Linked DNA regions of Arabidopsis thaliana. The main gene of each other region encodes a partner of the protein of the gene in region 2 in a complex. Each region holds a gene or a part of one and is shown on either strand. Other genes may lie near its edges. The genes, in order: RPL27, RPL24, AT2G43030 and RPL4.

Evidence for each region.
Region 1: RPL24 (region 2) and RPL27 share a complex: the UniProt entries of both Arabidopsis thaliana proteins name them as parts of the 50S ribosomal subunit.
Region 3: RPL24 (region 2) and AT2G43030 share a complex: the UniProt entries of both Arabidopsis thaliana proteins name them as parts of the 50S ribosomal subunit.
Region 4: RPL24 (region 2) and RPL4 share a complex: the UniProt entries of both Arabidopsis thaliana proteins name them as parts of the 50S ribosomal subunit.

Annotation. Positions count from the first base shown.
Region 1 is NC_003076.8:16,408,842-16,412,666, reverse strand, and holds RPL27 (ribosomal protein large subunit 27), read right to left. Parts: upstream 1,886-3,825; 5' UTR 1,802-1,885; coding exon 1,499-1,801; intron 1,200-1,498; coding exon 1,098-1,199; intron 1,014-1,097; coding exon 822-1,013; 3' UTR 553-821; downstream 1-552.
Region 2 is NC_003076.8:22,181,148-22,185,159, forward strand, and holds RPL24 (Translation protein SH3-like family protein), read left to right. Parts: upstream 1-1,695; 5' UTR 1,696-1,898; coding exon 1,899-2,012; intron 2,013-2,512; coding exon 2,513-2,551; intron 2,552-2,724; coding exon 2,725-2,955; intron 2,956-3,043; coding exon 3,044-3,256; 3' UTR 3,257-3,463; downstream 3,464-4,012. Other genes in the region: CRLK1 (Protein kinase superfamily protein), read left to right, coding at 1-28, 258-384, 566-651, 738-809, 891-1,094, 1,189-1,551; ANK (ankyrin), read right to left, coding at 3,634-4,012. UniProt on the Arabidopsis thaliana protein: One of two assembly initiator proteins, it binds directly to the 5'-end of the 23S rRNA, where it nucleates assembly of the 50S subunit. Required for optimal plastid performance in terms of photosynthesis and growth.
Region 3 is NC_003071.7:17,892,973-17,896,384, reverse strand, and holds AT2G43030 (Ribosomal protein L3 family protein), read right to left. Parts: upstream 1,590-3,412; 5' UTR 1,488-1,589; coding exon 672-1,487; 3' UTR 503-671; downstream 1-502. Other genes in the region: NPG1 (tetratricopeptide repeat (TPR)-containing protein), read left to right, coding at 8-336; PAO2 (polyamine oxidase 2), read right to left, coding at 1,945-2,683, 2,764-2,861, 2,952-3,054, 3,150-3,235, 3,350-3,412. UniProt on the Arabidopsis thaliana protein: One of the primary rRNA binding proteins, it binds directly near the 3'-end of the 23S rRNA, where it nucleates assembly of the 50S subunit.
Region 4 is NC_003070.9:2,247,141-2,251,034, reverse strand, and holds RPL4 (ribosomal protein L4), read right to left. Parts: upstream 2,069-3,894; 5' UTR 1,846-2,068; coding exon 1,014-1,845; coding exon of another isoform or gene 1,009-1,013; exon of another isoform or gene 863-1,008; coding exon 846-862; 3' UTR 506-845; downstream 1-505. Other genes in the region: AT1G07310 (Calcium-dependent lipid-binding (CaLB domain) family protein), read left to right, coding at 2,202-3,260. UniProt on the Arabidopsis thaliana protein: This protein binds directly and specifically to 23S rRNA. May play a role in plastid transcriptional regulation.

The DNA.
Region 1 (3,825 bases), 5.8 Mb from region 2:
TTGTCTTTGTTCTTCTTCTTAATTACTGCTCCTAGAATTTAAAACTTCTCATCAATTACTATTTTTGCTCTAGGCCTTTAGTGTTATTCAATAATATATCGTCATCTTACATATATATATCGTTACATACATGTGTATAAGTATTTGACCTCAAGCTGGTGAAATATGGCCTAAAGATAACACAAAGGATCTAATATGGTACAGGTAAAACGTTAGCGAAATTGATGGATTCAAGATGAGCAAGATATAGATAAATGAAAAAAAAAAAACATAGAATAATAATTTCATTCCACTAATTATGCAATGATAGACGAAAATGAATATTATTCAATTTCTTTTTTGTACCACTATCTACATATTCCGAAATGCTAAGTAATTGGGCTAAAACCCATTATTTCGCTAGAAGGCCCATAAAGTCTTCGGCTTCTTAGACTAACAATGGATCCATTTTTGGGATCCAAATAAGTTTTATAATTTTTATAATAAAAAAACCTCAAATAGACACTTGAACTAGATTTATACTTGACTAAATCTAATTGGGGCATTCAAAGGTTTGGTGGTCTCTCTTATCAATGATTCAGAATTACTAAGTTGGAAGAGAAATTCACTAAATTAAAACCTTTGAGGCTTTGACTAATTAACAATAACCATTTGATTACACTAATAACTCAAGTTGGGTAAAAATCCGCCTGCTTGGGACTCAATTTGACAAAAGAGAGGCTTGGATTCGACAATACAACCAACTCTTAATACTCTGAAAGGATCATTTTTCATAAACAAGACTAAACAAAAAGAGACAAGGAAACTCCACATTCAATCTTCTAGCACTCCGGATTGGCTTCAGCATCATCGACTGAGGCAGATGCAAGAACAAGTTCTGGTGTAGGAAGTGTGTACGAGTAATTCTCGCGTCTCGCCTTCTTCTTCTCCCTTTGCAATCTGAAGTTTTCTCTCTTTCTTGCTCTGTAGCTATTGGGATTCTCTGGTACAATTTCTCTTGGATACACACTTATCTGCAAAAACAAGTCTCATTTCCTTTAACATCCTAGAAGATTAAGAAAGCTTATAAACCTTACTCAGTATAACTACAGGTATACCTTCTTCCTGTCAGGACCAAACTTCTCGAACTTGACTAATCCATCGATTAAAGAGAAGATGGTATGATCTTTACCAATCCCAACATTTTTCCCAGCATGGAACTGCACCAAACATCACCATTCATGAATCAATCTTCTCAAACAATATAGTTCCATCCTAAACACAAACATAACGTAGAACTTCCAGAGAAATGGCAATGGCATCAGAAACAAGAGCTACTAAATACGAAAATTCATCCTAAACCCAGATGTGTTCGAGAATGGAATCTGAAAACAGAGCTTGAGAGCTAAACCCATAAGAAACTGACCAAATTGACAGAGTTGCGGTGAAATTAGAAGAGAATTGAAAGAGGAGCTTAAGAGGTTCTCAATTTCAACAATTCTGTGTTCTTAAGTGTTACCTTAGTGCCACGTTGACGAACAATGATAGCACCAGGTTTAGCAACTTGGTCACCGTAGATCTTGACGCCGAGTCGTTGCCCAGGAGAATCACGACCGTTCTTGGTGCTACCAGCTCCTTTCTTATGGGCCGATTCAATTGTCAACGGAATCGGAGCTTGAAGATTTTCCAGAGGAAGAGTCACCGTGAAAGAGGTTTTGGGGGAAAAACTCAAATCGCCTCTAAGAAAAGACGAAGTCGAAGAAAGAGACAAGCCTTTGAATGCCCCAATTAGATTCAAACTCATCGATGTTGCCATCGCCATTGGTAAAATCACCAGAGAATTCGTTGGAGTTTCGAAATGGAGAAATTAGGGTTTTCTGAGGTTGAAGAAGAAGTTCTTCTCCTTATCGTTTCGTCTCACTCTCTCGATTAGTGACCACTAAAATTACACGTCATCAAATAATGTAAGATAAGGTGAGTACACGTCAGCAAGTAAATAATGGAAAAAGAGAAAAAAGTGAATGTTGACAGTGGGATTTGAACCCACGCCCTTTCGGACCAGAACCTTAATCTGGCGCCTTAGACCAACTCGGCCATATCAACTTGTTGTATAAAATATTAAATCTAAATATATAGACTACAGTTTCAAATATTCATTATATAGTAGAAATTTCTCAGATAAAAACAAAAACCAAACTTAGAATAATAATATGCAAGAAGCAGCCAAAAATAATTATAGACTTTAGCTATAATATTAAAACATAAATTAGGATTTATACTGACAATGTCACTCTAAAAATTATTTTTACATTGGCGGAAAAATGTAATTTTCTGATTTGGCAAAAAAAAAATATTATTTGATTTTGACATGTTTTTACAGTTTTGACCGAAAATTAAAAATTATATTATTTGAGTTTCATAGACTGTCTAGTTGGTTAGAGGAGAAAAAAGTATTATGAACAAGATGAGAGATCACTATGACTCTCCTGTCATTAGTAGCAAGCCTTAAATAATGTTTGGAGATTTTAATGAGATTTTAGAACTTGTGGAGCATTCTAGAGCTGAAGACAACCCTATTATACCAATGGAATGAGAGACTTTCAATCAGTGGTAAACTATTGCTTTGTTTGAGACCTATCATCCCATGGTCCGCTGTATACTTGGTGTAATAAGCGAGAAAATGATCTTATCTTAAAGAAGTTGGATAGAGTTATAGAGACATGGACACAAACTTTTCTTTTTGATTGGATGGAAAGTCATAGGAGAGTTATAGTGATCTCTCATCTCTACTAATTGTTTATGGTTTTCATATTTATTGACAAAAGTATCTTTCAAAGACCTTCATTGTTCTTGAAATTCGACGATGAAGGTCTTTGGAACGGTAAATGGTAATTGGTTGTTTATTCTCTTTTAGTTATGTTTTCTATATTTTCATTTCTTTCTGCCTTCAAAAGAATTTGATATCATGTCTGTTTCCTATTCAATTTGCCTACTAATGATTCTCTCTCATAGAATTATTGTGAACAGCCACTAAAATATTTTTACCATAATCGACATGCTTTCTTATCATAAGTCACTACACCTACTTGGAAATGAACACTGGATTGTTTGAAACAAATGCATATTTCGAAGGTTGAGTTAGAAAGTGATGTAAGATACTTATGCAAAAACTTAAGAGTAAGTCTTGCTAATCATCCAAAAGACCATGAGAAAATAACATTTTTATGTCGAAAGGGGAGGATTCTCTTTGTGCTCCCTCTGCCAATAAAGAGGCAAAACCAATATAGCTAGAAACCTAGCAATGTTCTTAAGAACGAAATATATAGCAAAGTCATTGGCTCCAATCCTTTTTGGATTTGGGTAGACCCATGTAATTACTAGGATCCGGATTAGTTATATGTTAACCATGTAAAAACTATGTTAAATAATTAAGAAATTAAATGTCCATTATCAAATTAAACTTCATCTGTTTTTCATTATACTGAAAATTACAAAACTAAAAATAAAGCAAGTAAGCAAAATCTAAAAATCCTCGTCAAGCTTGAAGACATGATCATCATTAAACGCAGCGTTTCCATGAACACTAGACATAACAGAAGCTTTCTGATACTCACCAACTCTCTTCTCAAAAAAGTTGGTCTTACCCTGAAGCGAAATCAATTCCATCCAATCAAAAGGATTAGTCACACCATACACCTTACCACACCCAAGCGCAGCCAACAACCTATCAGCAACGAACTCAATGTACTGACTCATCAACTCACGATTCATCCCAACCAAGGCACAAGAAAGCGCGTCACAAACAAACTCTCTCTCAATCTCAACAGCATCACAAACAATCGCTTT
Region 2 (4,012 bases):
ACAGGGCGAAAAAGAGTTTCAGACAGAGGTAAGATATATCTATGGATTCATTTCCGAAGAACAAGTTAGTGTGTAAAACATGTAGCATTAGGCAGACTTTTAAGCATTACAATAGGCTTTCTGAAATCTCTAATACTCAATTTATTAGTTGTGTCATCTATAAGACAGGCTACATGAATGAACAATCTATATATCTTACTCTCTTAGTATCTGCTTAGTTTCTTGAAAAACTCATCCACTCGCCTTAATCTTTTCAGGTTATGTTATTGGGAAGGTTGCATCACCGTAACCTAGTGAACTTGATTGGATACTGTGCAGAGAAAGGCCAACACATGCTTATATATGTTTACATGAGTAAAGGAAGCTTAGCTTCTCATTTATACAGTAAGTAACTACCTGGTTATACATACCATATTAATCTGCTTGTCACTAAATGAACTGTTAATGCAATGTTGAGCTATTCGGTATCTTTGTAGAACATTTATTGAGTTGATGGTTTAGACTTCACTAAATGATGAGCCTTGGTAAAGATTTGAGATGCACTAAAATGGTACTTTTGATACAGGCGAAAAACATGAACCGCTGAGCTGGGATTTGAGAGTATATATTGCTTTAGACGTGGCACGTGGTCTAGAGTATCTTCATGATGGGGTAAGCTGCTTGCTAAAACCATTCACCATTTTAATGCATCTCTTAAACAACAACTTCAAAACTCATGTTCTAATCAATTGTTCCAGGCTGTTCCTCCTGTAATCCACAGAGATATCAAATCTTCCAACATCTTGCTGGATCAATCTATGAGAGCTCGGGTAAACATATCTTCTTTCTCTTTGAAATCTCAGTCTATTGAACCACCTCAAGTTTCTAATGGTGATCTTCTTTAACTTCAGGTTGCTGACTTTGGCCTCTCCAGAGAAGAAATGGTAGACAAACATGCAGCTAACATCAGAGGAACATTTGGCTACCTCGATCCCGAATACATTTCAACAAGAACATTCACCAAGAAAAGCGATGTCTATGGCTTCGGAGTTTTGCTTTTCGAGCTTATAGCAGGAAGAAATCCTCAACAAGGTCTAATGGAATTGGTTGAGCTGGTAACATAAAACTAAAAAGTCCTCGAAATCTCCAATTGTTTTGTTTGGAGAATTGCATGTAAAGACTAAACGTTTTGTTGTTGTTGATGAACAGGCGGCTATGAATGCAGAGGAAAAAGTCGGATGGGAAGAGATAGTAGATTCAAGATTAGATGGGAGATATGATTTACAAGAAGTGAATGAAGTAGCAGCTTTTGCTTACAAATGCATCTCTCGTGCACCTAGAAAACGTCCTAACATGAGGGACATTGTTCAGGTTTTGACTCGTGTTATTAAAGTGAGACATTGCAGAAAGCGGCAGAAGAATTCTCCGTCGCCGTCTCCACGGCTTCCTCCTCCTCCTCCGATAGTGGAGGAGTCAGAAGGTGAGTTAACTGCAAACGGATCATTACGATCAGAAATTCATCGGAGGGATAATTCCTTGGACAGTAGTATAGCTGAAGACGTGATTTTGTAAACAAAATGAAAAAAAAGTCTCAATTTTTTTAATTATTATTAACTTTTAAAATGTGATTTTGTTTTTCAATTCTTTTGGGTTTTTAGACGCTAGATTGTCTATATTTGTGAATGAAAATTTGTTCTTTGTTTTTTCGTGTTAAAACGAGTTCAAAACTGGAGAACCATATTATATATTTGGGCTATGAAAAGAATTGAATTCAAGGCCCAATTAAAACCTAGCCTAGCCCATTAAGGTTTAGTGATAATACAGTGTCGTTTAATCGTTTATCCAATTTTTATCGTCATCTGTGGAACGGATAGGACGAAGGAAAAAGAAGAAGAGTGAAAGTTGCAGAGCGAGAAAAAATGGCAACCATGTCTGCTCTTCAGAGCTCTTTTACTTCTCTTTCTCTATCTCCCAGCTCTTCCTTCCTCGGCCAGCGTTTAATTTCCCCGATTTCCCTCTCCGTCACTTCTCCGGTAACTTTAATTTTCGATTTCTGGTCAATTCAGGTTTTTAATCATTGTTCAAGCTTTTAGGTTATGTAGTTCACTTGTTTGCGTAATAGATTAGGTTCATGTCTTCGCTTTTCATATCCAAACCCATTTCATCAAGTAACTCTCAAATTGAATCTGTGTTGTTGCTCATTTTAAGTTTGAATTTTGCTTACTGGGATATAAAATTTTGTGCATTGTCTATGTTTAAGTGTAACTACTGAATTGAGATGAAAGTTATGAGGACTTAAAACGTCATCCTTTAGACTGATTGACTAGTTATTGGTTTGGAATCAATGGACTAGTACTTGTAAATGCTATACTTTTTAAACGAACGAAAATGTGCGTGTGATGGCTCACATTGAGTAAAGTGGCTATCTTGTTCATTTGGTTGTGATTTTTTGCATTTTCTTATGAAATGCAAAATAGCTGCAATAGGATATGGTTTCTTTGTTACTCTGCTGATTATTTTATACTCATTGCAGGTCAAGCCCGCTGAGAACCCATGTCTTGTTCTTGCAAAGGTTAGTCCACAGATCCATTACATTAACATTCTGCATTATTCGTTAATATACTAGCTTTGAAACCACAATAATTCTTTAGATTTTGTACACATCAAAAGCAAAAAGGAAAACTGTTGATAGATTCTTTTGAAACAATGAGATTGGAAGATGATTTATGTGTTTTGCGTTTTCAGCTCAAGCGTTGGGAACGAAAAGAATGCAAACCAAACAGTCTTCCGATTCTCCACAAAATGCATGTCAAGTTTGGAGATACAGTCAAAGTAATATCTGGACGCGACAAGGGTAAAATCGGAGAGGTTACTAAGATTTTCACTCACAACAGTACCATTGTGATCAAAGATGTGAACCTCAAAACAAAACACATGAAGAGCCGAGAAGAGGGAGAGCCTGGTCAAATTGTCAAGGTCAGAAATCATAGTTTTGTAGCTTTCCTTTACTTTGCAAGATTGGAGTGATGATTGAAGATTGTGCGAAATGTATTATGCTTTCCAGATAGAAGCACCTATCCACAGCTCAAATGTGATGTTGTATTCAAAAGAAAAAGACGTAGTAAGCCGGGTGGGTCACAAGGTACTTGAAGATGGACAGAAGGTAAGATATCTGATCAAAACAGGGGAACTCATCGACACCATTGAGAAGTGGAAGCTACTTAAGGAGGCTAAGGATAAGGAAACCACCCAAGTTGCAGTTACCTCCGCATCTTAGCGTCTCATTTCTTTCTTCTTCAGTGCACTTTTGATATAATAGACCTATGCATTGGATGGATGTATTGAATCCCTTTTAAGGTAAATTATAATATTTCTGCTCCCCTCATGAACACCTCTTAGCATGATTTAACATATTAATCGAACTAAAGCCGGGTACTCTTGAGTCTTGTCTATATCAATATTGATCGTTATTGACAATGTTAGACCGGCCTATCAAATAAACTGAACCAAAAACTAAACATATTAATGACTCCGCCATAACCTTAAGCACCTACAGTAATTTATTCAAAAGATACAATCTTTAAAATGAGTGCACGTTACAAAGTTAAAGCAAACAAAGTTTCGAGGGAACAAAGTGCAAACGCTTCAAAATGGTTAAACCATGTTCTTGAAGTTGTCAGAAATCAGGTCGCTTTTGGGTTTGCGTACCTTCATCTGCGTACACCGTTTCCACTTTACATATAATACCAGTAGATACACGAGGAATAAGCCCCCTTCATATATGATGAGGAAGAAGAATGAGAGACCATGCATCATGTACATCAAAAGGAAATAAGAGAAGACGAGGGGCACCGTAATAATGAAATACCACCACTCATATGCTCTGCCAACTGGTAAGAGAATAAATGAAAATAGGATAGCTATGGAAAACGCTACCGTATTGCATCCCCATAGTTGGAATTCCGAAAACCTCATACCATTCTTTTTAACTTTATCTAGTTTTTCTTTGTCTAGCAGTTGGGCTGCAGTCTGA
Region 3 (3,412 bases), on a different chromosome or scaffold from region 2:
TGATCAGGTCGAATGTGGGAAGGACGAAAGGAGTTCAAACCCGCGCTAGCAGCTTTCTTGGACGGTTTATTACTAGACGGATCATCGGTTCCTTGCAAAGTAGCGGTTGGAGCGTTATTGTCCGAAAGAGGGAAAGATCATCAGCCAACTCTCCCCGTGGCTAGAAGTTTGCTCTCTGATGCATTGAGGATCGATCCAACAAACCGAAAAGCTTGGTATTACTTAGGAATGGTTCATAAATCTGATGGACGTATAGCTGATGCTACTGATTGCTTCCAAGCTGCTTCTATGCTTGAAGAGTCTGATCCTATTGAAAGCTTCTCAACCATTCTTTAAAAATCCATCATAAAGATTTATATTCATATGTTCATTTTTTGTCTGTCATCTCATGTACAATTTTAAACCTTCTTAATTTCTTCAAACTAAATATATATTACATTGTTCGTTAGTTCTTTATGTTTAGAACTTTAGATGCTGAATTTTGGATACGCTTTCGAGTTTTGTAATCGCAGTTGAATCACAATTCAAGAACATTAGCATAGAAATACTTCCGACTTATACAAAAACTCCAATTCTAAGAAAGAAACTGTGATTTAGCAATTCGATACAAATTTTCAAGGAATGGATAAACACAAGTCAACATTACAAAACAAAACAGAGTCTCTTCTCTACTAGTTCTTGGGAATGTTAACTCCGACGATTTTAGCGGGAGTAATACGAAGAAGATTCCCAGGCTTACCAGGCAAAGCACCTTTGATCATGACAACATTAAGCTCCTTATCAACTTTAACAATCTTAAGCTTCCTAATCTTTGTCCTCGTCCCTCCCATTCTTCCAGGCATCTTCTTCCCTTTATAAACTCTTCCCGGAGTAGTACCAGCACCAATCGAACCCAAAGCTCGATGACTCTTGGAACCATGAGTCATCTGACCTCTCTTGAAATGATGCCTTTTGATTCCTCCTTGAAACCCTTTACCAATTGTGGTTCCAGCTACATCAACGAGATCACCTTCTTTGAATATCTCATCGAACACAAGCTTCTGGTTCGGTTCGAATCCTTCGATGTTTGTTAATCTGAACTCTTGGAGATGTCTCATTGGGATTGTACCGGCTTTTTGGAGATGACCGGTTTCCGGTTTAGTTAGCTTTTTGTCGCGTACACGACGGTAACCGATTTGAACCGCGTCGTAACCGTCTGTGGCTAGGGTTTTGATTTGGGTTACGATGTTACCTTCGCGGAATCCGACGACTGTTACTGGAACTACTGTGCCGTCTTCTTCGAAGAAACTCATCATCCCGAGTTTTGACCCCATTACTCCGATTCCAGCTTCCATGGATGATGAAACCACGAATCTGGTTTTTGGTGATGATTTGATGAGAAGTGAAGAGGATTTCGCCGGGAGGAAAGTGGGAGTGAAGAGTGAAGAGGATAAGGTTGTTTTGTTGAGCAGAGATGGGAAAGAAACAACCGCCATAGCTATCGCCATTGTCGGAGATTCACAGAGGAGAAGAAACTCTGAGAGAGGATAAAGCTCTGTGCCACACTCTTATCTTCTTCTCCAGTTATGAAATTTATTATTATACCGCTGAAGATACTCATATTTACAAAACACGGTGGTTTACCTTTTGCAACATCGGTCCTTTAAATCTGATTTTATTCATTTTGTATTTTTTCTTCTTATTGTATTCAATTTAACCTCTTTCAAGATTGGTGTTTATATTAGTTAGCACAAGTGAGAAAAGAAAATAGTACTTGAATTCTTAAAGATGATTATCATATATAAATAATATCACAAGGATATAATGTTCCAATTTATTGAATTAAAAACACTGAGAAAATAAGACTGGGAATGTTTTAAACGATCCGACACGAGAATAATTTTAGTTTCATATTAAGACAATCATCACTTGAGGTTCCTTCTAGTAAACGATAACTGATGGAGTTTAGAGACGAGATATAAGAAGAGGTACAGAGGCAGGTCCTTCCTCGCCCATCACAGGCTGGAACAGATCCAACTCACCATACCGCTCCAGAACTCGCATCCTACAATCTTCAGCTGCCATCAATCCAGTTGAATAAGCGCCGTGAACCGAGCCCGGGAAGCTCGAGCTCGTCGCTTCACCGGCAAAGAATAAGTTATCCACTGGAACCCTAAGCCTCTCGTAGAGATCATGAGGTTTGCCCACGATATCATAGCTATAAGATCCCATTGAATTCACATCAGATCCCCACCTCGACACGAGATACTGTACCGGAGGCAATGCATCGGGAAGAATTCTCTGGAGTTGCAAGACGGCGAAATTTGCAGCTGCTTCATCAGACATTTTCTCAATGTCTTTGGCAAGCTGACCAGCCGGCATGTAAACCAGAACCGGATGACCCGTGGCCTTGTGCAGGTTCAAAAAATAACTGCAACCGTAGGAGGTTTCAGCTACCACTCCTAGAAACTCTACTTTCGGCCAAAAGACTTTCTCAAAATGTAGTATGATCTTGTTCTCAATACCTACTCCTAGGTCGTTGATTGCTTCTTGTTTCCACTCAGGTAGCTTAGGTTCGAACTTTATGGTTCCCGATTTTAAAACTCCAAGAGGGACAGCAATGACTGCAGCATCCGCAACAAAAGTTTGCCCGTTTTCTGTCGTTACCTTCACTCCATTGTACCGCCTGACAATCTTAGTAACCCTGAGAGAAGGAGAAACACGAGGTTATGACTGTGAAACACTAAACGAATGCCATAACTCTTGAAAAACGCAAAAGCTTACCTGTGGCCTACTCGGATATCAAGACCTTTCGCCAGAGTATTGATGACAGGACGATACCCTCTAACCATAAGACCGTGTCCACCAGGCAACAATTCCTCCTGCACATTTCTCGGAGTGTTAAACCAAAAATTCAAGAAGCAGTCTATACAAAAAAAACTCTTAACTACGAGAGAAAGAATGTAACTAACCTGGTCCCAACACTTTGCAGAGATGGTTTCAGCATCTGCGGCAAACCATCCTTCCATGCGGCATACATACCATTGAAGTACGTTGTGTGCAAGCCCCTCTAACCTGGATGTGAAAATTCAAAATTCAACCATGAAACCAAGCTTGCAAAAGTGCATTGCCTAAAGAAATTGAGAAAATGAGACATTATGTATACAAACCTCAGCTCGGGTTTCCTAGAAAAGACAATTGAGAAAGCCTGAGAAATTGAAATGTCAGCATCCTGCTCATCCCTGACTTTATTGATCTGTGTTTGCAATAGACGAATCTAGTTAGCATGAGCATCAATCAAAGACTTGCAACATCAAGAAATACGAGAATAGGAATAAAGAAGAAATCTAAATGAATGTGAAGGACATACCTCTTCCAAAATACGCTCAAACGTTACGCCAATCTGAGTTACCAATTCTTGAGGAACTTGGTT
Region 4 (3,894 bases), on a different chromosome or scaffold from region 2:
GCTTGAAAGGGAAAAACAAATATGGTTTAATTGAAGAAGCGAAAATTGATCAATAAGAGAGAGGTCAAGCTTTCATTTGAAACAATAACCAGTCAATAAAAAATAGATTTTTCAAGGGTTTTTTTAGATTTTCGTTTTGGTTCTTTTTCAGTTTTCAGAACACACGGTAAGGACGGAGAAGACAAAATAGAAAACTGGTAAGAGAGGGCGGGAGTTAAATTAGTTGCTTTCTTACACATGTTTCCAAAGATTCTTGTTTTCTTACACTTTTAACCACATTTTTTACTGGTTCAGAAATTGACCCTTAAAGTTCATGGATTTTGCATCTCATATCTCTTTCTTCAAAAGATTGGGCTATCTTCTTAAGCCCACCAAGACCCATCAAATGTCTGTAAATAACATACACTATTGACACTTCCTAAGTTTTCTAGCTAATCCTTTTTTTTAGCAAGTTGTTAACAGATTTGTGTGAGACTATTCATGATTTTCAAAACCAAGATGAACATCAACGCTTAAAGCTTATAATAGCCACTCTTTCTTGTTAACTTGATGACTAAAGTCAATCTTTGTTGCTCAATCTTAACTGATACACACACAATCAACGTTACTCATGATATCTAATTTCACTCCTTACTCCTTCATTGAGAGTTGGACACAAAATCAGTATGACAAGAAATTGAGGATGATCTCTTAAGAAAAACTCTAAAAGTAAATACACATTTCTCTTGTTGTGACACAAAAAGGAAAGAGAAGACCTCATCAAGGAGAGTGAGAAGATGTACTCAAGATTAAACTCATAATTAAGCCACACTTGAAGCAATTGGAACTACGGGTGCTACTCATTCTTAAGCTTCCTCTGACCCTTCATAACACAAACAAATAATTACTTTTCCATATTAACACATCATATTTCTACCTCTTCAAGAAATTAAAACCAGACAAAAACGATCAAACACAACATTCAAAACATCAAATTTCGACAACAAGCCAGTTCCTTTCAAGAAAACACTAACCTTCCGTCTCATCTTCATCGTCATCTTCTTCCTCCACCGCATCAACACCGTACCTCGCATTCAAGAACTCCACAGCCGCAGGAGTCAGAACAAGCTTATCAGCGTTCAAAATATCAAACAGATTCAGTGTCCTAGGCGTCAACATCCTCAAGGTTCCAATGTTCCTACTCGATTTCGCCACATTCTCATCCACATCAATCATCAAGAACATAGCTTTCTCCTTGGGATCCAATCCCCACCTTTGCATCGCAGCTAAGAAATCTTTAGTCTTGGGCTTCTCAAACTTCTCCCCAAATTCCTCCACCACTATCGCACCACCTTCCGCAGATGCCGCACTCGATAACGCCGTAGATATCGCTAGCTTCTTCTCCTTCCTATTGATTTTAATTGACCAATCCTTAGGTCTTGGCCCAAACACCACACCTCCACCGGGACGTAACGGTGTTCTCTGAGATCCACGCCTCGCGTGGCCAGTTTTCTTCTGTGAGTAAGGTTTAATTCCACCACCACGAACTTCACCGCGAGTCAGTGTGGAAGCAGTACCTCGCCGCTTGTTATTCAGGTCCGTCACGATGGCTCGGTGCACAACGGCACGCGCGGTATCCTCCGGCGCCGCTTTGAGGTCTAGATACGTCTCTCCGACCTTCTCTCCTTCGAATGATAGAATCGGTAGAGTCGCTAGCTGGGAAGAGACAGAAAGCGGCTTCGAGACTCTGCCGGAGCCGAGTTTTGAAACGGAAATGTAGGTTTTAGGGATTTGGTGAGAGGAGGATAAAAAGAGAGAAGATGAGAAGAAAGATAGCGAATTTGGTGCTGTTGCAGAAGAAGCCATTGTTGTTCCCTGACCTGACCTATCACAACGAAGAAGAAGAAGAAAGACTGAGAAAGTGTTATCCACTCTTCAAATGCCTATCTTGTGCTTGGTGAGAATTTATGCATCTGTTTGGACATAAGGATATAACTATCCTGTTCATGAATAACTCCAGCTGTCGCTAGTAAGAAAGAGTCAAACTCCAAAAGTCAAAAGCCTCTTATATAGCCAGCAGGTTTTTTGAGACATAAAACTCTGTGATAAAACGATGATAGTTGATGATAGCTGAGACTTTGATACAGATATTTGAGATACGAGCGCACGTTAGCTAAGACCACCGCGTAAGCCACCGTCTCGTCTTGAAACGCACCGTATTCATGACTTCGTCGGAGCCACTCGACCTGGTTGTCACCGTCGTCTCTGCCAAGCACCTGAAGAATGTCAACTGGCGTAACGGTGACCTGAAACCCTACGTTGTTCTGTATCTTGACCAAGACCACCCTCTCTCCACCCGCTCCGATGATTCCTCCTCCATCAAACCGGTGTGGAACGAGCGGATTACTCTTCCTCTCACCCGATCTGTCCACGAATCGGTCCTCAACATCGAGGTTTTTCATTCCAATTCTTCGGATCTGGCGAAAACCCTCGTCGGATCGGTTAGGTTTCCTCTAGCTCGTTTGATTGACTCGGACGGGTCAATGATTCCGGAATTGATCAACTCGCTCGAGCTGGTTCGTCCATCGGGTCGACCACAGGGGAAGATTCGTTTGAAGCTCGCGATCAAAGACAGACCAATCCCTCCACCGCAGCATCCTCCGCCACGTCCTCAATCTCAACCACTAGATTACTATTCTGCCCCTCAAGGAAACCATTATTACTCCCCTAGCCCTCCTCCTCCTCCTCCTCCTCAAGCACCGATCACCGCTCCATCTCCTCAGCGTGACTACAGAGAATTCTCACAGTCACCGTCTCCGTCTCCTTACGCATTCACTGATCACTACTATTCCGGGTATTATTATCCGCCTCCTCCACCACGTTCAATGTACGATCGTGCCTCCAATTACGGCCTCCCAAGTGGCCCATCTGCTCCCGTTGATGCCTTCTCATCGATTGATCACAAGCAGCCTCCTTTAGCTCCTCCTCGGTTTTCTAACTACGGTCCACCGCCTAGTGGGCCCTCAGCACCCGTTGATGCCTTTCTGGTTACCGAGTACAAGCCACAAGCTCCACCTATGGGCTCGCGATTGTCTAGCTACGGAGTGCCTAATGGTCCATCGGCACCAGTCGATTACTCTCCTTATGATCACAGGCAGTTGCAGAAGACGATGGGTGGATTGAGCTTAGAGGAAGAGAGAGCTGCTGCAGAGAGGTCTGAGAGTGATTTCGGAGCTAGGCCAAACTACAGCTATGGCCGTGATTATCGCCGTGAATGTTGAGGATGGCAAAAAGTTGTTGAATTTCACAAGTGTGCGGCGTTTCTAAGGCTTTACTTATCATCAGATTTGTTGGTGTTAGAACACCAGGAAATGGCTGATGACAAAATATGAATTTGGTGAAGTATATGTTATGTCTATATGTATGTCTCGTTTGTGAATTGATTTGTTGCTTCTTTCTAGCTGATATTCGGTGTTACCCCTTCTGTACCTTTGTACATGTTTCTAAAACATCTCTCATTTCTTTCCTTCATTCAGTTTCTTGAATCAAGCTATTGGGTTCTTAGGGTTAATGTTCTAATGTGAATCACTTTACTGTTGATTTATTGTTTGAACCATGCTCTGATTAGGTATGGTAGTATGCTCTGTCTCAGACATGAACAGTCCTATATCCTGCGATTCTGCCGAATATTTTTGCAGGCTGGTTAAAGACTTTGGTTCTTATTTCATGTTTGATGATACCAATGTGTGATTTTCGTTTGGAACCAGTGATCTCCATATTCATTGAGCGTTTGGATTAATGTGTCTTGAATCATGCTCATCACAGTGCAGAAAAGATGTTCTCTCTGATCGTTTTGGGTAAAATGGTATGTACACGGTTGGTGCTAAGTCTATTGTGCTCTTGTTATAACGATGA